Linked DNA regions of Drosophila melanogaster. The protein of the gene in region 1 interacts with the protein of each later gene in a pairwise test. Each region holds a gene or a part of one and is shown on either strand. Other genes may lie near its edges.

Region 1 (7,549 bases):
AAAAACTCACACGCTTGTACCCACATTTATTGACACAAATTGCGTTTTGAGGACGGCATTTGGCAGCCGCCGTGGCGGTTCCTTCTGCTTTCTTTTTATTAAAGAAATAATAAAATATTCATAAAGATTGCGCTACGATAACCACGCATGTATTTTAGAGTAAACGACCATTAAATATGTTTGTGGCCAGGGCCTAACAATCAATGGCGATCCCAGCTTTATTAGCCCCGTCTGAGTTATTGGCCTTGTTCAAAATGGGTTCTCTGTTTGGGCGCTCAATCAATTCCCGGCCAAGCTGTGCGCCACACAATCATGTTAAGAATTCAATATCAAAGCGCGAGCGCAGCTGCCGCTGATGACATCGTGGAATGTCCACGATTTCATCAACCCCCCGCCTTTCTTACCAAGCCATTGATGAACAGGCTCGCAGCGAGTAGAGGGGGTGGTGATGGTTGAAGCTTGGGTCTGATTCGCAAGCATCGCATTTTGATTACAAATATGAAACATGCTCACTCAAATATGACCTGCCCCCTCCCTCGGTTACCACAAACCCGGCTTCCTCAATGGCGTGTGTATGGAGTGCACTTAATGGCGTTCCGCATTTCTCGCAAGGAGGGGTGAAAGTCAAGTTAATATTGAGCCAACTTGACTCAATTTTGACTGAGTGGGCCGAGACACTGACAAAAAGCTAGAAGAACCTATTTTCTACGTTAGGTCATCTACAAATAATATAAAAAGATGAAAGGTTTTCCAGATAAATATGATTTAATTTAAACATATTAATATAGCTAATGCCATACAAGAGTCATACTTTTTATTGCACAACTAAATATACAATACAATCTTAATTTTATATCACATCCTTGTGAAAAAAGGAATATTATGAAAATTTAATTATTTAAACATTTTCGCGTCAATTGATTAAAAATTACATATAACACTTTATAAGCACAATAGTTAGTGTAAAATCCCAAATAAGAAGACTTTACTCGTTGAGTTTTTGTAAGAAACTGATTTTATTTGGAAATATCTTCGGTTTAAATAGGTGACATGAGAATCGCATCTTAAAGTAAATGGCCTACGCAGAGGCCTAAGTAAATAGTCCCCGCCTTATCGAGGTCCCACGCTCGGGCACATCTGCCTATCTTGAGCGGCGAGGACCTTATCTGTGGTCTCCCACTAAGGGACTATTTTAGGAGGCGGGGAAAGATCTCAAGTGACTGACTCATGTAGTGTGCACTTAAATTACATGTTTTTGAGCAATGCACCCATGTCGCCTTAGATAACAAAATCCTAAATATAATTTATCGCTCTCGATTCATTTACATAAGATATGAACGGAGCCCAAAATTGTAAGTCTTTAAATATATTCGTGTTCATGTGTGAACAGTTAGTCTGAATATTTCTTTTTCGTATTTATTTTTATGTTTCAAACTAATCTTTGTATTGAATAACGTAACGTGATGAGCTAATCGATATTTATTTAACTTTTTCATGCGAACACAAATAATTTTTATTTGTGCAGCAAAACATTCGCTGAGAAGGCAAGACTCGGGAAAATTGCACATAGACAAGATCTTAGGCCATTAGCTTTAATTGCAAAAGTTTTGGGCCAAAAGCAAGTGCAATTCCAATGGCAACAGCAGTGGCAGCTGAAACTGCAACAAATTGCGTGGCTATCAATATTTCCGTGGCTGCATTTGATTTCCTAATGCATCTGCAGCCATTCATGTCCCGAAGTTGACAGGCTGGGATGCCTCCCATCATACCATGCATCCACCTCCGAACCGTCGCCCCTGTCAACGATTAACAATATCCGGTTGTGTACCCCGGCAGTAGCTATCCGCTGGCCCGATTGCGAGCTTGGTTTTAATTAGTCCTGCCCGTACGTATTTTCTATTGGCCAATTCACCGCAGAAGCTTCATTACCGGTCTACCGTGTGTGTCTCTTTCGCTTTGTGCGTGTGTGCTTCTGCAGGACAGATTGCGAGTCATTAAGTTGATGCAGCAGTAGCAGCAGCAGCAGGAGGAGGAGCAGGAGCAGGAGCAGCATCCGTGTAAGCCACACAAACAGGCAGTTAGAATGCCACATGCCACGCCCACAGCAGCGGTCGAGCCATGTCGAGGGGCTGGGCAGCTGTAACTGAATCGAAATCAGCATCAGCACCAACACCAACACCAGCATCGAAATCCATAGCCAAGCCCGGATCAGAGCAGAAAACGAAACAGAAACATGTCGAGAGTTAACCTTTGTTGGCGGTTTGCTGCTTTTTGTGCGCCGGAAACGGCAGAGCAACTCAATCAGTTTTTGCGGTTTATGGTGGCCCGGCCAAAAGGGACACGCTAATGGCTCACAAATGGCACTTGAATAATTGAATGCCGGAAACGGAGGAGAAAGAAAGCTCGCGGTATTAGCCAGCAATGCCTGCGCTTGGCATTGTCCGCTTTATACACGTAATCCACATGTAAACAAATTGCACAATTCAACTACAAATTAACTACGGATGTTACTAACTAATCTTAGGGTCTAAAGCGAAGCATCCTTCTTGTCCCTATCGCCCGAAGTCATCTTATCCGGGTCCGATTGCGGTTTCTCTTTGCCTTGTTGCAGCTCCTCACTATTCTGGCTGCCGCTCAGTTTCTTCCTTTCACTTGTAATTAGCTGCTGCAGCTCTTGGTCCCAGCCCAAGGCTTTGGCCAGAGCCATTACGCCAGCATCACAGTCGCCCAGAAAGGCCACATCCCTAGTGTTATTGGGCTTATCGAAGAGTAGCGATCGCGTGTTGGGATCCATAAAGAGCACACAGCTGGCCTGACCCACTGCATCGCGATTGATCAAGAGGCGAATGCAACGTGGTCCTGGTCTCCACACCAGTGAAGCAAACGGTTGCACTTCCAACGATGTGCCCATGATGATCAGCAGATCGCAATCCTGGAAATCCTCTTCAGGACTGGAGTAAAATCTCTTTGGCAAGTTTTCGCCAAAGAAAACAATGTCTGGTTTAACAACGCCTTGGCACTTTTGGCATTTGGGCAGACGATCGGCGAAGATCTCCGCCTTCATCCAGTCCATGTCGTACTCCTTGCGGCACTTAATGCAGTGGTTGGTGTGGAAGCTGCCATGGGCCTCAATGATCTTGTCCTCGGGCAGGCCAGTAAGCCGGTCTAGCGTGTCTATGTTCTGGGTGTAGTGGCGCTGCAGTAGTCCCTTGTCGTTAAGCAAACGGATAAAGTAGTGGGCCGGCGTGGGAATGAAGGATCCAGGGTAAAGTTCCTTGGCCAGTGCAAAAAACGGCGCTGGATTCTTTTCGAAGTAGTCCAGATCGAATATGGCCGTAGGATGTGGCAGCTCGTACTTCTTCAGATTGCTGTATAACCCGGAACCTGGGGATCTGAAATCCGGAATGCCAGCAGCTAGGAATGGCGATAACTTAGTAAGTTTTTACAATGGTATATAGAATGTACCAACATGTAGATATGCCGGCTCCCACCATGGTCACAATCTTGCGGAAACCATGCACACGCCAATGTTCGGCAAAGCCGTCAAAACTCAAATCTGGAATAACCTGCAAATTTGCGATTTAATCAATATGATAATCAAATTATCGGGTGCTCCGCTCACCTTCTCTACTTTAACTTCCTCCTTTGCGTCCGAGGAGCCGCCGAGATGTAGAGTGTTTGCAAAGAAGCGTCGAACCTTATCCATTGTGTCGTCTAGAATTCAATTCAATTAATGAGTGACAGTAAAGACCTAACTATTTAGACTAGCCTGGGGCCTCCTCGTCGTCGTCACTGGACGAGGAATTGGAGGGCGTCGTCGGTTGTTCCTCCTTCTTTACTTCGATGTCGCCCATGGTAAACAGATTCACCTTCCGGTGAAAGTATGTAAATCTGAGGATAGTGTGATGAATTCTCCCAATTGTTTATGTTGCGTTTTGTTTTAACGTAAAAAGCAAAACAAGTTCTGACAACTATCGATAGGTTTAGGCTAACGAATAAGTTATCTCTAACAGCTATTAAAAAGCTAGAATTTTAATTTCATTGCTTATTGATTTAGATTTTAAAATCAAATTTGTGCGAGCAAACCAAAATATTATAATTACTTTAAGTAGCCTATCAATGAAAGATTTTTATTTAACAGCGATTTATTAAGGGTCGCAAATAAATATGTGTTTGTAACGGTTAGAACATATTATGACTCATTAAACAAAAAGGAACCGAATAATAGAATAACTAAAGCTAAGAAGGGCGCAAAGTTACAAAATCGAGTATAGATAAAATAACAATTACACTTTGTTGATATCTGAATATAAACTAATTGAAAGGTTAAAATCAGCTGAATTGTCAGCACGGAGTGTCCAAATAATCGATAGCTGTTATCGACCCACCCAGTGTTAGGCTCTCTAGCGCCACCAGCCCTGGCCGGCCGATAGTCGATTACTCGATGTTCGGCGGGGGTGCAGCTCTGCCCGTTCGCTCAGCCCTGGAAAACCACGCCAGTCATTTTTGTTTTGATAAGGATACGGATACAAAAAGAGCGTGGCCTGGAAAAACTGCAGAAACGGCGGAGAAAGCGCCCCAAAAGCGAGCGAAAACGGTGGAAACTGATCGTGGGGAAGTGCGCGACAAAGTGGCCGCGGATTCAGGCCCTCCCAATCGCTACGTGGAAGCGTAAGCAGCGTGTTGAAGAAGAGAAGAAGAAGAAGCAGCAGCAGCGCAGCAAAAGTACACAGAAGTGCAAACCAGACGACTGAAATAACAAATCAAAAAAGGCCCCAAAAGGAGCGGCGCAGTGGAAGCAACTGCGGGGGCGGGGAATGGCCGAGGGTCGTCGGTGGCCGCCATTGTGTAACGCCGCCGATGGGCAGACTGTAGATCCACGCTAGGATCATATCTCTCGAATATCATGCATCTGAACCATGCGACAGCCGCCACGGCAGCCATGGCCAACTATCAGCACTACCAACTGCCAGCCTCCCATGGCGGTGGCGGCGGAGGAGGAGGTGGCGGTGGCGGTGGAGGAGGGAGTAATGGTGGATCTGGACCGGGTCCCAACTCGGGACAGCAGCAGCCCACCACACTGGCCAGCCTGCAACAGAGTCCCTTTGCGCTGCATCAACTCACCGCCGTGCAGGCCATCCAGCACCCTACCCACCAAGCCATGCTCCATCCACAGCACCCGCTGGTCCATTTGCTGGACATATCCACTACAACAGCGAACAGTGGCGGAGGAGGCGGGGGCAGCCACACGCCCATTTCTCCTATGAAACAGGAGGTGCAGAGCGTGATTAGCGAGGAGGAGGTGGTGGTGGACGATCCGCGCAAGAAGAAACAGTGCCACGTGTGCAAGAACAAGTTCCGGCAGCTGACCACGTTACGCAACCACATGAAGATCCACACGGACGAGCGGCCCTACAAGTGCAAACACTGCGACAAGGCCTTCCGCCAGATCTCGACGCTAACCAACCACGTGAAAATCCACACCGGAGAAAAGCCGTTCACCTGCAACATCTGCGCCAAGGACTTTCGCCAGCAGAGCACCTTGATCAATCACATCAAGACGCACAAGGGTGAGTGTGTGGTCGCATCGTCCCAATAGACCTTATGACCTAACTCTATTTCTCGCTTCGCTTACGGGCAACAGCGGCGGAGTCCAGCACGCCAACTTCCCTGTTGAACTATCAGCCGCAGACGGGCAGTGGCAAACACCGAAAGTCCCAGATGCACCAGGCCTACCAGCAGCAGCATCAGCGCGTCCAAATCTCAAAGACCTTGTATTCCGGCAGCTACAGCTCGCCGGCGGCCGAGGAGCTGGTGAAGCCGTTCCAGTGTAGCGTTTGCAAGCGCCGCTTCCCGCAGCTGAGCACGCTGCACAACCACGAGCGGACCCACATCGATCCTAAGCCGTACAAGTGCGAAACGTGTGACAAGTCCTTTAGCCAGCTGGCGACGCTGGCCAACCACAAGAAGATCCACACGGGCGACAAGCCGTACACGTGTTCCTACTGCCACATGCAGTTCCGCCAGCAGAGCACCCTTACCAACCACCTCAAGACGCACACGCATCAGATAGCGCCTGGAGGCGTCGGTGGAGCAGGAGGCGGCGGAGGCGCCGTCACAGCCACAGGTGAGCCGCTTGTGTGTTCGCCCTACCAATGAGCCGCTTTCTGTTATCCATGTGTGCATTGATTATTAACGCTCTTCCCTAACGAAGCTTTTATTTAAATCTTGTACGCATGCTAACTTCAACAAATCATCCAACAATCCAACTCCGTACCGTCAATCTGCAGTGGATCACTCAATGCCCGCTCCTCTGGCGCCCGGGACGCAGCAGCTGACCAGTGGCCTGTTGCCGAACAACCTGCACGGTAGCACGGCGAACATCATCCAGCTGGACCACCATCCGCTACTGCATTTCCTCGACGGCAGCACCACGGTCAGCTCGGTAGTGGCCACGGCGGCGGCCAACACCAAGGTGGAGCATTTCCAGGCGGGCGGCTCGCCGTCGGGCCGGATGACCGTAGTGGGCACCATCAACATGCTGAAGGGCGACAATCCGGACCGGCCGTTTGGCTGCAGCGTCTGCCAGCGGTTCTTCTCACAGCAGAGCACCTTGGTAAATCACATCAAGACGCACACCGGAGAGAAGCCCTACAAGTGCAAGATCTGTGAGGTCAACTTCCGGCAGGTGGCCACGCTGAACAACCACATGAAGATCCACACCGGTGAAAAGCCCTACAACTGTTCCTTTTGTCCTAAACAGTTCCGGCAAAAAAGCACACTGCAAAACCACCTGCGGGTGCACACCTGCTAGACCCACTTCAGATCCAGATCGCAACGCGATCCAGGTCCGCAGCCAGCCAGCCAGCCAGTCAAGCAGCCATTGAGGAATAGTGCAATATGCATGCCACATAGCACATACACTTATAGATCGCATATACGGCATACGAATACGATTACATGAATACTATATTTGAATATATACTCGAAAGTGTTATTTACCTGCTGTGCAGAGCGCAATTGTATGTAACTATATCGTAGAGAGCTGATCCACATGCGTGTCCAATTGTAAATTAAGGCTAGCCGTGTTGGCATAAGCCACAGATGATATGATACAGGGTGTTTAGGCCTAAACTCTATACTATCCCATGATGGTTCGATTTGAGTCGGTGTGTTAAAGGTATCTTAAGGCACTTTAAAGCCATTTAGTCTAAAACGTTTTATTATCTTTTAATACCCATCAATTTCTCGCTTTTCAAAGCTTTGTAAATGAATCATCGGCGTCTTTTTAAGTTTGGTTGCTGTTTTCGAATGGCAAGGAAAATGACTACAATAAATTTAGATGTGACCTACTTTGCACAATAACCTTTTATGCCTGTATATGCATAATTGTTGTCTTTTATATTTCCTTTACAAGGAACATCTTACTAAAAAAAAAAATATTGATATTGTTTAAAACTGATACAATTCAAGTTATATTATTTGTTTTAAGGTAAAATGGTCAAAGAGTTATTAGGATTTCTTTAGCACCGAAGCTTCTTGAGGAATC
Region 2 (10,417 bases), on another chromosome or scaffold:
CTTACTTTGATTTTCATTATATTTCTTTTGACTTTCTAAACTGGGTGATCCAGACCAATAATGCTGCTCCGCCTTGAGCGTTGGCTAGTAAAAGTCCAAGTTGCCATTTCTGGCCCCACTCGCCTCGTTTGGGAGCAGCAAGTGATCGACCACCGGGCCGACAGACAATTTGCATAACTACCGTGCTTATGCCGCAAACATAACAAATTACAACGATTTTGCGTATGTACATACCGGGCGGATGGATGGAAAGCGAGGCGTTTAGCAAATATCTGCCTATCTGTCCCATAACGGGACTCTCCGTGCCGGGAAAATGAAGAGCAGTGCAAACAAGGCCGAGATGTAATGGCCAAGACACATGGTAATGGCCATAATCAGGCCGCAACAAGACAGGCGAACTTCAAATGGAATTATGCAAAGCGTGTCGTCGTCTCCGCCAGAACCACACAACAAAATCACCTCGCATTCTTGGCTTTGTTTTCAGTTACTTTTATTTAAGTTAAAAATTGCTTATGATTAGGGGTTTATATTTAGGTTGTGCAATTTGTCGAGTTTGCACTGACTTATATGCTAGTTTAAATATGCGGCAGTCGATTAGTGGTTGATCGGTGATTTAATGTGCAGTTAGTATAGATGTACGATCTGCAAAGGAAATTGTGAATTAGTTTCAATTCAAAGCGCACTGTTTGTTTAATCACTTACCTAGTGTATAATTTAGTTAGAATTAAGCGCCACAACATACCCCAACGTAAGAAGATCTGCAAGTGAAGAAAGGAAATTAGTTATGATTTAACCACGATTAAAATGCTAAACACAGTGAAATATAGCTATAAGCTCAGTTACTAAATTACAATCAAATCATTTCATTAGTCTAACATATGTAAAATAACATCATAGAGCTTATTTAAATTGAAGTGGTTTAAATATATATTACGTACCTTGAAAGTGTTCCTAATGTAATGGTCTAATGGTCATTGGAATTTTCCGATTAAACTGCAAAGAAAGCATCAATTTACTAATCGATCCAGTAATTATCATAAATAAGTATTGAAATTTTTAATTTTAAAAACATTCTCAGTTACTAATTTACAATCAAATCATTTCATTAGTCTAACATATGTAAAATAACATCATTGTTTAACTCAACGAAAATGTGGCTTAATCGTTACAATTTCTTACCTTTAAAACGTTTTAGGTGCAGCGTTTGTTGGTTTTGCCCACGAAAACTGCAATAGAAAGAGAAATACAAAATTAATAACATTTCTTTGCTTTTCAATCAATAAACGCTTGAATTTGTTATCAGAAAAACATAACTTTACACTAATCAAGGCATTTCATAGGTGTCCCAAGGTAAAACTCGAAAATCATCATTGAAAACAACTATAAATAGAAACCAACTTACCTAGTTAAAAAAGAAAAGTTTCCATGATATTGAAGTGTTCCTTTGCTGGCATCTGCAAAATATAAACAATTGTTAGCTTTCTGTTCAATAATCATAAAAGACTAAATTCAGCAAAGTATTTATCAGATATTGACGTTTACGCTAATCAAGGCATTTCATAGGTGTCCCAAGGTAAAATAGCTATGTCATCACAAAAACCTATGTCCCATAGGCATATCGATTCCAACTCACCTTAGAAGGCGTATCGCGTGCGAATATCCTCCAGTTTCTTGCAGATCTGATTGGGAGTGCGGAACATGTCGCCAGCTATGCTCTTCTGCTTGGCTGCCTCAATGGACAGATACTGCTCGCAGAGATCGCCGTCGAGTACGTTTTTGACCGGATAATACGAGCTCCTGTAGCTGAGATGGTCGCGTCCACAGAGTGGAGGATTCTCATTGCGCATGTGCATCTCCAGATGTTGGAAGAAGTCGTAGTCCTCGCGACTGGTGAACGGAACAAATGCTCCAACAGTGCCACTTAGCGTGGCGTATATAAGGGCTTCCGATCCTCCAGGAATTAGCGTTGCCTTCTGCAGCGACATGATTATCTCGCCCACATGGAAGGAGCAAATGTTCTCCGACTTCTGTGAAGCACCTGACAGCAGGCCACGATCCCACAGAGACTTGGTGCCCGTTGGATCCTCGTCCACATCGTCCGTTACGGAGTGGGGCAATCGCTGAATGCTCAGGTTGCCAAACTTATCGGCTATGGCTATGGTATCATAGTCCAGCAAGGTGGTGGCCGTCACCCATCGAGGATGCGTGTCATCGGCAAATATAATCAGCTGGTTCTCCGCGCGACGATAGCGTATGAAAAATACTGATTCCTGAACATCCGACACGTAAACACGATGACCCATGGCTTGGATATTGACAATCTGATAGGGAATGTGCTTGTTCTCGCATTTGCGCAGCATTTTCTTCTTGCCGAAATCGTAGATTCGCAACATTCGACCGCAGCCAGCTAGTAGACGACCCTGGAAGCCACACAGGGCTCCAGGAATCTCGTCAATGTCCGTGCGGTGCATGAATTCCAGACTGGAGCAAGTGGGATCTATTTTGTAGATATCTATGCAGCCGCCTTGCGAAATCCTGGGATTCAGCTGCAGATCCTTGGCGATTCCCACGGCCAGGTAGTACCGGCCATCAGCCGCTATGGAGAACTTCAGCATGGCCATCGACATAATGGCCTCGTTTTGGGTGAGCGGCACACTAAACATCGTCTGACCATGCATTGCGTCCAGGCAACGGATTTGCGAGGCCCAAAGACCCAGTCCTGCTTTGGGCGACGAAAACACGTCCTCGGGAAGGACTTCGTTGATGAAAGCATTGGCCATTTCGCGGGCCAACTCCCTTTCCTCATCGCCAGCTGCACTGCGCATCTCCTCCGCCATTTGCTCCTTTCGGGCACTCTTCGTATCCTCTGTGTAGGCGTTGTGATCGGTTTCGGCAATTAGCATGCGTCCCGTATCCGGATGGATTACAAAGGTACGTGGAGTGTACTGCAAGGGGAACGCTACTTGATTGAAGACGGCTCCCAGTTTCTCCAGGGCCAAGATCCTCAAGGTGTTGGTGGATATAGCCACGATACCTTCGCTGCACTGCTCGCTCGAGAAGCCAGAAGCATACTCAAGGGTTTCATAAGACAGAGGCGTCAAATGGAATCGATTTTGGTGGTAGTACGACAGCCAGGTTCGACTGGACATGGCCAGCACCGCTTCGGATCCCTGCATCTTGATCCGGAAGAGCTTTACGGGTCGGGAACCCAAATATCTCGTTCGGGTGTCTGCCAAATCTCCGGAAACAGGATCGAGCACAGTTCTCAGCAGGACACCGTTGCTCAAGCCAATGTTTAGGTAAATGGTTCCCTTATTGTTGCCACTGCGCTGAGCGGGAGCATCGTCATCCAAACCTCCCTGAGTCGTGCTCTCCGTGTGACCCATTTCGACCAGGCAAAGGGATTCGGCTGGCGAAGGCAGGGCCTGCATGGAGCAGGGAGTGAGACAGTTGTTGGGATCCAGCGATAAGATGCGCACTGTATTATCCGCCAGGCCGACGGCCAAGAACCAGGATCTCTGCTCGCCCTCCGGAACAGTTCCCAAGGCCATGCACATAATCTCAGCAGGCATCTCGGAACGTTCCGTGTACTCGTTCAGCTCCCCAGTCTGCAAGCATAAAATGTATTCATTAGTTGTGAAGTTAAGTAAACGAGGATAAGGCTTTTGGTTGATTTTGAAGCTCAGCACTGCAGGACACATAGTGTCTCAACATGATTGTTCTTTTCGTGTTTTTGTCATCAGAGCAAGAAGTCAACAGTTGAGTGTAATATAGTAGTAGAATTGCTTACCGGATCCATTTCGAAGTAGACCAACTCCCTGCCCGACAAGGTGATGACCACCTGGCGCTGATTCACGGCGCACTTGGTAATGGACTTCTTGCCCGGAGCCTTCCACTCGTTCACACGCTTGTCGGATCGGATATGTCGAATGCCATCGGGGTAAACCTGAACCAGCGCATCATCGCCCAGGGCGGCACAACAGAGCGTGGGCGTGGTGCCCAGGAAACCGCTGTCCGTGACTTCCTCGACGGTTTCGCCAATGCTCAAAACCAGGGTGGCATTCACGAAGGACACGATGATATAGGCATCAAACTCGTCTAAAAAATAGGGGAGCAAAACAATACTTGGAACGTGAGTACTTCAGTTTGAATCGAGCAAGCGAAAAAGATCTGCGTATCACACAAGACATTGAATAATCAGTTTATCAAGTTGTAATCAATGGATAATTCAGCTGAAACACGGTTGATAAATATCGCATCATGTTCAATGTCCGACTGGCTTAAATATAGTTAGCTTTTGTTCTGTTTTCATTGGTATAGTAGCAGTGGTAGTTGTAGTATCTGTTTGACTTATGAGCTGCAGTAAATGTTGCCTTACCTATCGCTTCACAAAAGACAATTTAAAATTACACAAACGAGAGAAATTCTCTTTAATCGCTTGTCTTTTTCGATAGTTCACACATATTGCCGTCTGTGTTTAAGCGCCTGAAATAAGAGAGAACTGGTGGTTGATAACTTGTGGGACTTGTTTGGAATCGTGCGTAAAGCTAGGTGTAATCTATATCTCGATCTGTATCAATGCACCAGTTGAGTTATTAGCCACGTTTCAGTCTTAGTCTAATCTTAGCTTAGGAATCATGATTAATGCCCGCAGACACACTCACCATCAGCTCGTTTCTTCACAGTCCAAACCGCATTGGGATTACCAGGCAGTTCGGAAACGGCCATCTCGGACACCTCGAGGCCGTGGCGCAGCACCCGCAGAGTGGAACGCGGTCCTCGTCCGCAAAGAACGTACAGTTGCGGTGTGTCCTCGTTGGCCAGATCAGCCACCTGGGAGGTGATGATCGGTGCGAAAGAGGGCAGTTCATCCACAAGCACCAGGTTCTTTAGGGCACGTGGCGCAAAGAAGAAGGTTTCACCCTCCTCCAAAGGCATGGCCGAACTGAACTCCGGCTCGTCATCGTCGTCACCCAGATGAGCGATTTGATATAGATAGCTGAGGGTTACACAAATACCTCAATTAGTACCCATTCATATTATTCTCAAATGAATGATTTGTAGATACTCACTGGTTGCCAAACTCGCTGGCCACGAACAGGAAACCCGTCTTTAGCACGCACATGGCAGTTGCCGGCGGCACTGTATCGAAGTACTTTAGCTTGATCTCGGAGACCACATCATCGTCCGTTTCCAGGGTGATCTTAAAGATGTCTCCCTGCTCGGTCTGCAGCAGGAAGAAGTACATGCTCTTGGTGCGATGTGTGGCCGAGCAGATGAAGATCATACCACGTTCGGGATCATCCAGATCGTTTCTCCTGCGCGGAATGGGACAGCGGATATCGTGCTGATCGCCGAGATTCTTGTACGTTAGGTAGTTCTCCGAGCAGATCAGCACGCCCGAAGGACCATCGTTGCCCCCAGGCACGGATACCAAGAAATTGGCGTGCTCTTCCAAGGGCTCCGAGTATTTGCGAACCACGTGGTTTAAGCCGAGATCCAACTCGTAGAAAGTCAGCGTTTGCTGAGTGCGCTGGGCGGCGTCACCTGGAACAAATAGATGCGACACTGATTAGTTACAGGACTATAGCATTGTACTATCAAAATGTTATCAATTGAGATTAGGAAGTGTGGGTCACAAATCAGTGAAGTGTGGCTAGGCAATTACAGCAACACCAATGGTTCAGTGATCACGATTTATCTGGCACTAAGTACAGTCAGTGTTCGTGGTGTGGATCCACTAAACCTGTGAATTAAAGCGCCTTCTAGGGTCTACACGCCACCTAGTTGATGCTTACCCGATGGATCCATGTCGGCCTCTTCGTAGTCGATCTCTAGGCAGGCGAACATGGGATTATCGAAGCCCACATCCACGCCGACCATGTGGTATGTCAGTGTATTCGATTTGTGGGCCTCCAGGGGCGATGAGATCGTGAGGCGAGCCTGCGTGTCCCGGTTCATGATGTAGGCCAGCTTTTGCTTCTCCACGGCGCCAATCATCACGGCTCTTCCTTTAGGATCGATGGCAAAGTATTGCCCAGGCACAATCCTGCGACATCCCGACTTTCCGAACGTCTCCTGGTGCACTTTTTCAAGAGCATTCTTGGAGGGATTGTACTCGAGGATCACGATGCGTCCCGAGTCCGAGCCCACAACTATGTAATCTGCAAAGCAAGGTAACGATATTCGAGATTAGGGTCATACATTTAACACTTTCTAATGACTATAATGATATTTTATTGACTTTGTAACTCGAAGTTTCAATTCGCCACTCCGTTGAGTTGGTTTATGGCAAATGCGACGTCAAGTCTTTCGGTTTCTCTCGCACTTAGACGCGTTCAAAGGTCTTACTGGGGTCAACTAGCCGTCTGTTGCCTCAATAGGGATTTGTGCGACTTACATAGATTATATAGGAGCAATACATTACTCCCAATTGATGGTACAAAACTAAATTACAATTGAAAGACTCACCTTTAGTGCCGCCCGTCAGTCGAAAGGCCATCAGGGCGCGAACGCATCCGAATATCTCCGTGGAGAGCAGGGTGTGCACCTTGCCGGTGTTGGAGTCCGGACGCAGTAGCTCCAGCGACTTGCCACGCGACAGGAGGACCTCCTGCTGCTTGCCGCCGGAGAAGTTGCCGTGGACCGCGTGGGTCACGCCGGTGGCCTTCTGCAGGGTCAGGTTGTACAGATACATGGTGGAGCACTACACTCTTTCACTTTTGTCCACGACTGCAAGAGAAGCAATGTTGAGGTTAGGTACAGTTGCAGACAAGGGAAAAAGTCACGTGAATGGCGGTGTATTTTTTTTTTTGTGAATTTGTACTACTTTGAAAACCATGGCCACAGTATGGAAAGTCGTGTCGCCTAACGATGCTAGTAAGCAGCATTTAATTCTTAGTTTAGCACGCTTCAAATGCGACCAAAGCACAGACATTTCTGATTTCTGGAGATACTTCGTGCGGAAAGCGCTTAAATAATAGTAGATATCAGTGCTAGCACGTGTATTTGTTTACCTTCGGCTGGTTAAATGGATGAATTAGCACATTTCACCAGCGATGCCTTTGGATTCGAATTTTCCTGATTACTCAGAACTCTTCATTTTCACATCTGCTCTGTTCGCCGACAAAAAGTAAAAGAACTATAAAAGTAAAAATGGTGGTGCATAAAATGTGGCTTGACTTATCGATAGTGCGCGGCCGTCGATTTTCCTATCGATAATAGGCCCGGTTCAGACTGATTATAAATTAAATAATTATTTTACTGGAAATTGTTGCTGCAGAAATCATAAGTTTCCTAAAAATCCTGGTCAAGATATATCGAATTTATCCTTTATTAAATATACCACATTTAAATATTCGGAAATTGCCATGGGCCAATCCCAGTTCCACATACCAAAAACTGCCTCAAAAGCTAAACATATAATATGCAATTTTCTGTGAAAAAATGGAAAATTTCAAGGATCTGTAAAAATATGTACTGGATCAATCGTTTTATCTTTCTTTAACTTAAAAAATTTTTATCATGGGCTTAAATGAAAACAAAACCACTCACCGAATTGTGGCTAAAGGGCTGGGCTCAATACTATGCTATTAAGGTATGATTAAGGAGAAAACTTTAAAGGTATTTAAAAAAAATAAATAGATCAGTCCCCAACTATTTTTTTCTGTTTATTCGATCTCTACTTGAGTATATTTTTACGCGGCGTTGGCTCATGTTATTAGACTAATTAGAAAAATCATCAATTATTACTTAGTAAACTAGGTTTGTTGACTATCGATATACCAACTTCAGATTCGCGACATCTCTAATCAGTCATGGAATTGTCAGTGTTGTAAAACCTGAAATGTCATTGCATCTTTGCTTCTTCAAAACAGCTGACAGCTAAAAACAAATATTTCGTGATTTTTGTAAATATTGCTAACGTTTTAATATGGAGGAGCAAGAGGATCGAGAAAAGCTCTACGAAGAAGCCCACAAGAAAGTAAAACTGGGCGAGGAGCTGAAGAAAGCGCTGAAAGACTTCGAAGATTTGCCTGGTGTCAGCAAAGTACAGCGAAAAATTCAGCAAGAGCTCAAATTTCTAAATAAGGTTTGTTTGCCTATTTTTCATGATAAAAACATTGAGTAAAAGCATTTTCCTTCAAGGTGATTACTACAAGGTCCGTAAAGGAACACCACATAACCAGCAGTAACTTTGTTTACTACGATTTTCTCATTAAAACTCTGCGTTTGCAACAAGGAGTAGTCGACATCAATGCCGTATTCCGCCTGGAGTCTAGGGATAGTCCCCTGAGAGTCGACATCGTGGCCAACAATGGACTCAAGTGGGTGAAGGTGATAGCCAGGAACTCGAAGTCCGTCGAGGACGCGGCCAGGGGATGTGTCAGCATCGGAGCCCGAAGTGTCATCGACCAGGCGGAGGATTATCTGGAGGCCAGCGAACTTAGTTTCTGCATGTTCCAGAGGCCGAAGGTAATGCCTAATAGTATGCTACCCTAGACAGCATTCATCATCTGATATACTGCCTTTTAGATAGTATTCTACTTCTCCAACAAAATCGAGGACTCCCTGCATGAAGAGCTAATGGAAATGGGCGTACAAACTGCTTCCCTGGACTCACCAGACACCGACTTGGATATGTACGCCACGACGTCGAACGAACTGAATCTAGATGTGACCACATTGCTGGCCTACGTTAGTGCGCTCACCAACGGATCCGCCAATTGGGTCTACAAGGAACCTCTGCTCACCGAACAGGCGGAAAGGGAAAGAGCCTCGCCGCTAAAACCGCTCCTCGAGAAAATCCTAGAGGGAAAAACCTTGGTCTGCTGCCAGTTAGCCTACGATGCCTTCCAGAGTATTTTGGATATTGTAGGCGGCGAGGGCGAACGGAAGCGAGCCGAGGAACTGATGAAACGGGTCACCGTTTATCCGGATGTGGAAACAATACCCGAAGAATTCTCCCACATACGTTTCACTGCCAACGTAAACGAGCGAAGTCTGAAAATCTTTAGTTTCGGCATGGCCAGGCAAATTTTCACTGTGACTTCGAATAAGGCCTTTGTGAGATCAGCTAAGATGCAGGTATGCATGAATGGAAAATGTGATTTTGTCCTGTCTTTAATGTCTGTGCTTTACAGGGTATCAATGTGCCTGTTTTTGTACACGCTTCAGTTGCACTTACCGAAGGTAAGCAGGCAACAGGAAGACCGCTTTAAAAACCAATAAGCGTTAAGGCTATTCAAATAAATTTTATGTGATTTTTTTTCAAAAACTGCTCTACACAAAGTTGTTATAATTATTAAATAAAGATCCTTCAAATTTGAATTCGATTGGTTTTTAAAAATTCGAAACGATACATACGACTCTTATCGATTGTTGTCATGACAGAGCTGCCACACCTCGCGCATAAAACATATGTAAACAAAAGTGAAATTTTGGAAACTGCGTTCTTGCAAAAAAATAGACGACATTTTGCTTGCATAAAACAGGCAATATTGCAATTGGGAATATAATTATTAAAATTTAGGTGCCTGGCAATTTCAACGTTACAAGAGCAATCATATAATTTCAAATCAGGACGGGAAAACAGTCAAAAACATGGACTGCGCACCACTGAACTTGGTAAGAACCCGAAGAAAACATCGAATTTACATGGTTTTAAATGGAATTACCTACCCAAATCAAAGGCTCATTTCCACGAGCGAAGGTCGGAGCGATTTATACGCAATCACCGCTATGAGGAGGCCATTAAAGCGCTGGAAACATCCCTAATCTACATGCAGGATGCCCAAAAACGGGTGGCTCTGCCCAAATCCAAGGAAGTTCTGGACACATTGACCCTCGATTTTCAGCGCAAACTGCGTCAAATTGAGATGCGAAAGACGCAGCATGGTCTGAACAAGCTGAAGGATTATGCTCCCTTGAAGGAAACCAGTCCCATGCTGCCCCTGCGACCAGAAGCCGGAGCAAGTGGAGGCGCAGGAGGATCCGCTCAGTCGGTGGCCAAGGCAATCGACAAAACAGTGCAGGACTTCGATGCCAAGTTCACCTCCTCCTTGGTGGCAAAGGCCTCTAGCACACTGGCCCATTCGGAGCCCCATATGGAGACGCTGAAGAAGAGCGATTCTGCCCAGGAGGAGCAGGAACACGATACTTGCGATCAGCGGCTGGCGGGCAGTGGAGACCTGGACCTGCCATCCTTGGCGCCCTTGGAGTTGCCCTCCTTCGATTACAGCCTGTTCACCAGCTCCTCGGCTCCTTCGTTGGCCAGCTATGCCGGCATGGCTGAGAGCTTCCAGAAATAGGCCTGGTTAAGATCCATTTGTAAAACTTCAACTAATTTGAAAGATCTCGTGGTAATGCAGTGCCCGCTGAGTGGTGATTAGGATTTAATTTTAGGCACGTTCTTCAT
Region 3 (7,545 bases), on another chromosome or scaffold:
TTAACTATTTATGTTCGGGAAACCTAGCCTTTACGTGTTACGTGTATTACTAAGGTAGAGGGACGGCGAACAAGAAGCATTAACAATTTTGTGGCAAGAAAAATAATAAAATGACAAAAATCTCAATGCTCCAGCTTTTATCGTTAAAAAATAAAAAAATAAAAATAACTCCCGACGTCTTTATTCTAAATTGATTTCAAAATTTGGAAGTAGTATTTAGATATAGTAAATAGCCTTGTATATTCCGCTAGATTATTAAAACAAAGGAACGATTTGCTAAACAACTTTTTGTCACGCCCACTCTAACGCCCTAAAGCCGCCGAACCGCCGAACACTTTAGAAAATATTTTTAAGTTTTTCTCATTTTATTCTCCAATATCTATCGAAAAATTATAAAATTTCGCGTTCGCATTCACACTAGCTGAGTAACGGGTACCTGATGGGGGATAGGTAGGGGAACTCGACTATAGCATTCTTTCTTTTTTTTACATTACTGACAAATGCCTTACAAAAGATTTACAAAGATCTGTGGAGCCCGACAGATGAGAGAGTAAATGAATTGAGTTTTTGTTAGGTGGTTCGAAACGTAGAACCTATTCTGACCAACAAGTGTCACAGGAATAGCCTTCGCCCACCTTAAACGAAATTAGTTGATAATTTCGTCGTGAATTCGTTGAAGAGAAGTATTTCCTATCATTAGCTTGACATCAGATCCCTGTGCATCGTGGATTTGCTGTAAACTGACAGACGGAGACATGGCGATGGTGATTGCACTACAGGCTACATTATCGGACACCCTGCGAAATGTATCCAAGATGACGAACTTGCCTATAATATTTTCCCCTCTATTCACGAATAGAGAGCGATTCTCGATCGTTTATGCAGTAGTTTTCTCAATGTCAAATACTTTTTTAACGAAAAAAATGATGCCATCTGGCCACATGACACATCACATAAGTTCTGCTTTAGGAATAAGATGAATTTCATACTAACATTCTGAAAGTAATAATTAAAGACGTGCAGAAAGGAAGAGGCACCTAGATAATAGTTAATGATGACGTGTATAATTTTTAGTGTTTTTACTCGCTGATTGTGACGTTTAATTCCCCGTGCACAGCAATAACAAAAGACTATGCTATAGTGGAGTTCCCCGACTATCAGGAACCCAGATATCAGAATACAATTAGAATGAAATAGGCGGTTTATGGGGGTTAGAGTGGGCATAGCAAAAAGTTTTGTTTATCAAATTTACAACACCAGCGAAAATATGAAAAAAGATCAAAACATTTTTCAAAAGCACGGGCGTGACAGGTTTGGTAAGTTTGTAGGTGTGGCAAAATGGGTCAACAAACTTGCGCTGCTTCTATGTCTCTAGAATCTGTATGCTTAACCTCAACCTTTTAGCTTTTATAGCTCAAGGACTGCTAGGTTCGGAAAAATCGAATTTCTTTTAATTTGAAATCTGGTATCGTTTGCCACGTCCAATTTTTGAAATCAGAATTTTCGAAAAAGATATAAAATCAAGAAGTTGAGGTTTTTTTTTTAAATCGCAATACCATTGTTTGTTCACGTTTGACCACCTTTTAGAATTTGAAAAAATGTATAATTTAGAAAATATATGACATAAAGCGTTTGACCATCGCTTACAACTAAATATTATCAATTAAAAACGTTTGCAAAACCATTATTATTATTTTCTTATCGTTTGCACACCCTTAAAACAAAAAAACTAAAAAGAAGTGTAAACTGCGGTTTTAGTAACTGATAATATTTTTTCACCAGATCGAAGGTGCTCTAAAAAATCGCGGTCGGTCATATGCAGCGGTTTGCACTGCCACTGACCACGAAAAATGCCCTCTTTGAACAAGAATTCGACTTTATTCGTTTAAAACATCACCAGATAGATATTGCGAGCCATTATAGTTAAGGCCATCTTTTGGTTTCATTTAGCGCAGTGCTGTACATCGTCGATTGCTTGTCTTTTGTAATGGTACAGTGGTGTTCACAAACTCTTGTGATTCTGTATATGGCTATGGATTTTGTATATAAAGAGCCTGAGTCGATGAGAACTTCGGACTTCTAAAAGTTTTGGGTTTGGTTGGGTTTAATCGGCCAACGCAGAAGTCAACAGCAGGCGTGTGATTTTCGTTGCCAAAATGGTCTCCTTGCTGATCTCAGGGACTTATGAGAATTCGGATCAAGGCTGTGCACAGGACAACTGCGAGGACGACTATTTTACTACATCCGGCGACGCCTTTTTTCGCTTCCAGAGAAGACACTATCATCGAGGTGCTTGCTGCTGAACCACGGATAAGTATTAGGGTTCTGGAAAAAGAGAGACCCCAAGATGCGATGCTTGCCGGACATCAATTGTTGTCACGTTGTTAGCTTCACTTTAATGTGTATAAGTATGTGAATTTGTGAAAGATTTTCATTTAGCAAAAGTAATGATTATTTAAAAGAGTTTTGGCTCGCGAACCGGTTCACCATTATAGGGCACTGTAACTACACGGTTCATGTAACATACTATATATCACCGTACTGTCTAGAAAAAAATCATGCTTGCGTAAGAGTGGGCGTGGCCAGAATGTTTAAGTCATTACGATTAAAAAATTAAGGTTTCATACCATCTATTTTAATTATATCGCAATGCAAAGATAAATGAAACATGTCCCAAAAATGAATTAAAAATTATGGCGGTTTATTTTTATGAAATAAAAGTTTACCCGCTTAATATTCTCTTTAATTTGCGAATACATCAACTTCTTGCTAAACTCTTTTGTATGTATACAATATACTTTTTTTGCCAAGAGTTGAGGAGTATAAAAAACATTTACCGATGAAACGCTTTTGCCGCATTGTCGTTGTTATGGTTATGCCCTTTGGCTTACCAGCATTTGACCCGGAACCTGCAGCAGCGTTTAAAGCGTGAGACAGACCAAGGAATACGCGGGACGAGAAATGTGCATTGACTTTGTTGTTAGAAACCGCGCACTTTGCAGTGCATTTATTCCGTCGTCGGTGTTGAATGAAACAAAAGTGTCGCTATTATTTAACGACAACAGCTCCTTGGACTTCAGACTCTTTGGGGTCTCTTAAGAAATGTTGAGAAAAGTGACATGGCTTAACACATCGGGGGTCTATTCAAAGGACAGATTTATAAATTCCATTTAACCGTTTCTTTAATTTGTATATCGCCTATTTTTATTAAACAATAAAACAGTATTTATAATTCAATTGGCTTTTAAAGGGAGAGAATAATTTTAACATTCGATTAGCCAACAGTAGATGAATAGCCTGAATCCAACGTATAATCCTAGAAAATTCTTGGACTCATTTATTTTGAAAACTTCCGCACAACCTTTAAATGTCATCTCATGGGAATGGTTAAACCATACTTCGATCAAGGCATTACAATAGAAATGTCTACTTCTTCCTTTGGAGACTTAACAGAAAATTTCACTTTCTTTGTTAGCGCTAAATAGGGGTTTGAGGATCTTAGCGATGCAACCTGCACCTGGTCTTGTGTAATATTTATTACGCTTTCTATTAAATAAAGCATACTTTTGTGAGCAATTGTTTGCCTTTTCTGTGCGGTCCACCCGCTAAGTTACAACAACGTATACTGCAGTTGACAAGTGTATGGGGAATTTTGTAAATGAAGTAAACTTATCCCAAGCCCGAATGACTACCGATTGTTGAAAAGAAATAAAATTAGTTTTCTATGCTTTCTTTTATTTTTCAATGGTTTGCTTGTGTAAGCTTTTCATAATTAGTCGGCTTTATTTTATAAGGTAAGTTTACTTTGTCAAAATTGTTGAACTCAACCCAACAACGCATTTCAGCCAGCTTAATTGTACTGACAACTTACATGTACTTGGATGTAATTAATCCACGATGTTTTTAAATATTTAAGTCACTTTTCAACAACTCTCACAATTCACGCTGCATTTCATTTTTGCTAAATATATATCGATCCTTGGCTATCCTTTTTCGTTTTCGAATTCTAAGCAATAGTATTTTTTAAAAACTTCCGCACAATTCGAATCAAATATCTCGGGAGCGCACAACGATTACCGGAAACGCGGAAGCGCTGGTGATGACGGCCACTTGTGGAATGGCTGAATGAACGAAGCGGTGCCATCGGCCGACCCGAGTCCAGACAAAAGACGAATCACAAGCCTGGCCGATGGGAGTCGAGTCGAGCAACAAGTCCACCCAGCAGAGGGGGCTGGAGCTTCCGCCCGCACGAGAGCCTGAGTCGAAACAGACTGGCGAATGGAGAGCAACTGAAAATACTCAAAAACGGAGTGGATTTCTGAGTCAGAGTGTTTTTTTTCGTATTTTCCAAAGTATTGAGGTGGCACCGCTGAAATTAGAGGATTATGTTATCTGGGGTCCTTTAATTAATGCCTGCATATTGACATTGCAGTCCGTACCCACGATAACTCCTTAATATAAATACTAAGTAACTGTTTGAATAAATTTTTTTTATATGAAAATGTTTACGAATGTATCTAATGCGAGTTCCGTTCGACACATTAAAGTGTAATGGTATTTCCTGCACTATTTTTAAAGTTTCATAGCCAAATGACTGCAAAACCAAGAAAGTGTTTGTTTTCGAACCCAAAATTAAATAAACTCAACTCGAAACTCAAATGCGAAATATTAAGTATTTATCAAACCAAAACTCCGTTGGCAGGGCATGACGTTCCTCTACTCACTCCGACATTATATCAATAAGTACTAGGTCCCATGAAAAACGAACGTAAAAACGTAAAACGAATATACCCTTCCCGGCACGTTGTCCCAGGCTAGCTCACACATACACAGATGCAGTTCCAACGCCACCACATATTTGCCCAACGGGGTGGATTGTGGCTCGGAGTTCCTAGACATGGACACCACGTGCTCAGGCTCAACTCCAGAGGGGGGTATTGAGCCATAGGGCAGGGGCACCCACAAGGGACTATGGGAAATTTTACCACTTTTTCTGACCAAAATGAATAACTCCAGAACGGAGTAAGATATTTGGTTTTTCTTTTCTTACATTGACTTATACTAGACCATATCTATGAGACTTCCAAAACTGTGGGCGTGGCACCACGCCTTATATTTAATTAACTAATTTTCGTAAAGGGAATTCTCCTTTATATAAAATAATACTAACAAAAACAAAAGAGAATGCTATAGTCGAGTTCTCCGACTATCAGATTGGGGAATAAATCATTTTTGGGGAATAAAATGAGAAAAAATTTCCAAAGTGTGGGTTTAACCGGTTCGGCGGCTTTAGGGCGTTAGAGTGAGCGTGGCAAAAATGTTTTTGTCAAATCGATAGGAATTTACAAGAATAATACAATTTTGAAAACATTTCAACATTTCACAAAATGCGGCCGTTTAGGCGGTTTTAGGGCGTTAGAGTGGGCGTGGAAAAATGGGTCAACAAACTTGTGTCTGTCTCTAGAATCTGTCTGCTGCATCTCAACCTTCTAGCTTTTATAGTTCCTGAAATCTCGCCGTTCATACGGACGGACAGGGCCAGATCTTCATACGGATAGTCGGACAGACGGACATGATAAGATCGACTCGGTTATTGATCCTGATCAAGAACATATACTTTATATAGTCTTAATCGCTTCCTTCTGACAGTTACATACTTTTCAACGAATTTATTTACTCTACGAGTAACGGGTATAATAATAAAACAAATCAGCAACAAATCAGCAACCGCCTTGTTGAACTCCTTTTTAGCATAAAAAACTTAACAAGAATACAAAGCTACAACATGAGGTACATTTCATTGATGGACTTTTTAAGTTAAGTCTTTATCAAACAAATGCTTTTGTAAGGAAATTTATATTTTACTCAATTTTGGGTACAACACGATTTTTTTTTATTTTGACAGTCACATAAACTTAATACACTTAAATCAGCTGCTTCATTACAACTTTTGTAACGGAGGAAAAACTTAACGTAAATGTTTTTGTAGACGCAACAGATGTTTTTAACAGCATATTTCTTTGTTGTTGCTCCATATATATTTATTTCTAAACATTGGTCAATTATGAATAGACTTATTAAATATTGCATTAATCGACCGACTTTCAGAAAATGGCTTTTAGCCAGAAAAAGTGGGTAAATTTCCCATAGTGCAAGGGTCTAAGTGAGAGGCGGATGACTAGCCTGATTAGTACATGTGACGCATGTTGCTTGCGACGGCCTGCATTCGACTGCGGCTGACTTTCCACTTGGCTGTCGCCAGCTCCTTTGTTACCAACTCCGATTGACTGAGTGAGTTGTATACTGTTATTATTATTATCGTCTGTTTGTCCACGCTCTTGTTGCTGTTGGTTATCACAGTGCTTATGCCCTTATCGGGAGGGCTTTATCTCATGATAAACTATTGTCGGCAGATAATGAAATGTTGCTAGGAAAGCTATTTTGCTTATTCGAATGTTGCGAGCTTCCCTCCACGAATATGTGCGTATGCGGTTTTTTATATGACTAATATTTCTTTTGTTTGATTTGGATCAAAGGGATTTCAATAATTGCTGCAATATTGCATGGATAAAACTTTCATGTATAGAACACTAAGAAAAAAAAATATGTTAAGTTCACTGCTGGAATTGTAATTGTTTATTCCAAGTCAAAGTTGGAATTTGCCTTATATTAAATAAATAATTGTTGAGGTGGATAATATAATGGTGTAATGTATGAATTTAAAAATATGTTGCATGTAAAAGGAGCGTTACCCCGACCCGGGAAATTAAGTTCTCAGTTTTCTTCGAAATGATAGGAAAGACCTTTCTGAGTTGAGGGAACATTATAACTGATGCTTTTGGATTTAATACTTGCTTTAAAACTGAATTAAAATGAAGCATCGCTGCATTATTTGTTTAATATTAGTCAGCCAAGGAAAAAGTTTATTTACTGAAAATAAGTCCCTCTTCCCTTTTTATTTGCTTTTATCACTAATTCCCCTTCAGCCAAGTATTTCCAAATACAAATTGACAGTTAATATTTTTAAACTGGCAACTCAGTTGCAAGGGATGGGAACAAGAAATAGAGGTAGTACGAGCAGCATGTTGTCGACATTATGTAAATCACCCGTCGGCAGCGTAAGCAATTGCGCGCCCCACCTCTTTCAGCGAAAGCATGGAAACAATAAACAGGAAGAAAAACAGGAGACAGAGCTGTAAAAGAAGGGGAAAATTGTTTAGCCGAAAGCTTCTTACAGTTCCGGATAGGATAGGAACGTTTTGATTATTTCAGACTAGTGAGTCTTTGCGTTAGCGGTGCTCATCAACAGTTGGGTTTGTCCTCTGATCTGGTCTGTCGTTTTCTTTGACTTATTAAAACGAGCATTTCACTCGACGTTTTGTCTTGCACAAAGGTCAATAAAGAAGTGCCCATTTGCACCAATAGCAATATTGTATAAACATTGCACTTAATAGGGTTTTTAGAATTTGGTGCAGTAATTTACGAGTAGAATGCATAAGAAATACTCTAAAACCATTAGAAAATAATTGGTAATTGAACAAGAGA

The links. Proteins that work in one complex are often made in the same cells at the same time.
Region 2: the proteins of Sirt2 (region 1) and Sf3b3 interact in a two-hybrid assay, tested with the Drosophila melanogaster proteins (one large-scale study listed by BioGRID).
Region 3: the proteins of Sirt2 (region 1) and dimm interact in a two-hybrid assay, tested with the Drosophila melanogaster proteins (one large-scale study listed by BioGRID).

Annotation. Positions count from the first base shown.
Region 1 is NT_033777.3:20,324,894-20,332,442, reverse strand, and holds Sirt2 (sirtuin 2), read right to left. Parts: upstream 3,979-7,549; 5' UTR 3,855-3,978; coding exon 3,770-3,854; intron 3,715-3,769; coding exon 3,623-3,714; intron 3,567-3,622; coding exon 3,470-3,566; intron 3,415-3,469; coding exon 2,528-3,414; 3' UTR 1,528-2,527; downstream 1-1,527. Other genes in the region: CG4360 (uncharacterized protein), read left to right, coding at 4,907-5,570, 5,645-6,127, 6,291-6,814.
Region 2 is NT_037436.4:826,244-836,660, forward strand, and holds Sf3b3 (splicing factor 3b subunit 3), read right to left. Parts: upstream 7,143-10,417; 5' UTR 7,017-7,142; intron 6,967-7,016; exon of another isoform or gene 6,819-6,966; intron 6,733-6,818; 5' UTR 6,698-6,732; coding exon 6,472-6,697; intron 6,397-6,471; exon of another isoform or gene 6,244-6,396; intron 6,165-6,243; coding exon 5,799-6,164; intron 5,766-5,798; exon of another isoform or gene 5,627-5,765; intron 5,548-5,626; coding exon 5,073-5,547; intron 5,000-5,072; coding exon 4,665-4,999; intron 4,486-4,664; coding exon of another isoform or gene 4,478-4,485; exon of another isoform or gene 4,379-4,477; intron 4,269-4,378; exon of another isoform or gene 4,194-4,268; intron 4,099-4,193; coding exon 3,791-4,098; intron 3,750-3,790; exon of another isoform or gene 3,609-3,749; coding exon 1,635-3,608; 3' UTR 1,634-1,634; intron 1,601-1,633; exon of another isoform or gene 1,521-1,600; intron 1,455-1,520; 3' UTR 1,403-1,454; intron 1,378-1,402; exon of another isoform or gene 1,294-1,377; intron 1,227-1,293; 3' UTR 1,180-1,226; intron 1,141-1,179; exon of another isoform or gene 1,069-1,140; intron 994-1,068; 3' UTR 939-993; and 7 more. Other genes in the region: CG42553 (uncharacterized protein), read left to right, coding at 7,934-8,092, 8,149-8,475, 8,536-9,087, 9,144-9,221; CG42554 (uncharacterized protein), read left to right, coding at 9,604-9,627, 9,693-10,310. UniProt on the Drosophila melanogaster protein: Involved in pre-mRNA splicing as a component of the splicing factor SF3B complex, a constituent of the spliceosome. SF3B complex is required for 'A' complex assembly formed by the stable binding of U2 snRNP to the branchpoint sequence (BPS) in pre-mRNA.
Region 3 is NT_033779.5:21,328,353-21,335,897, reverse strand, and holds the start of dimm (dimmed), read right to left. Parts: upstream 4,143-7,545; 5' UTR 3,872-4,142; intron 1-3,871. UniProt on the Drosophila melanogaster protein: Transcription factor that regulates neurosecretory (NS) cell function and neuroendocrine cell fate. Acts as a master regulator of common NS functions such as Phm expression and neuropeptide production.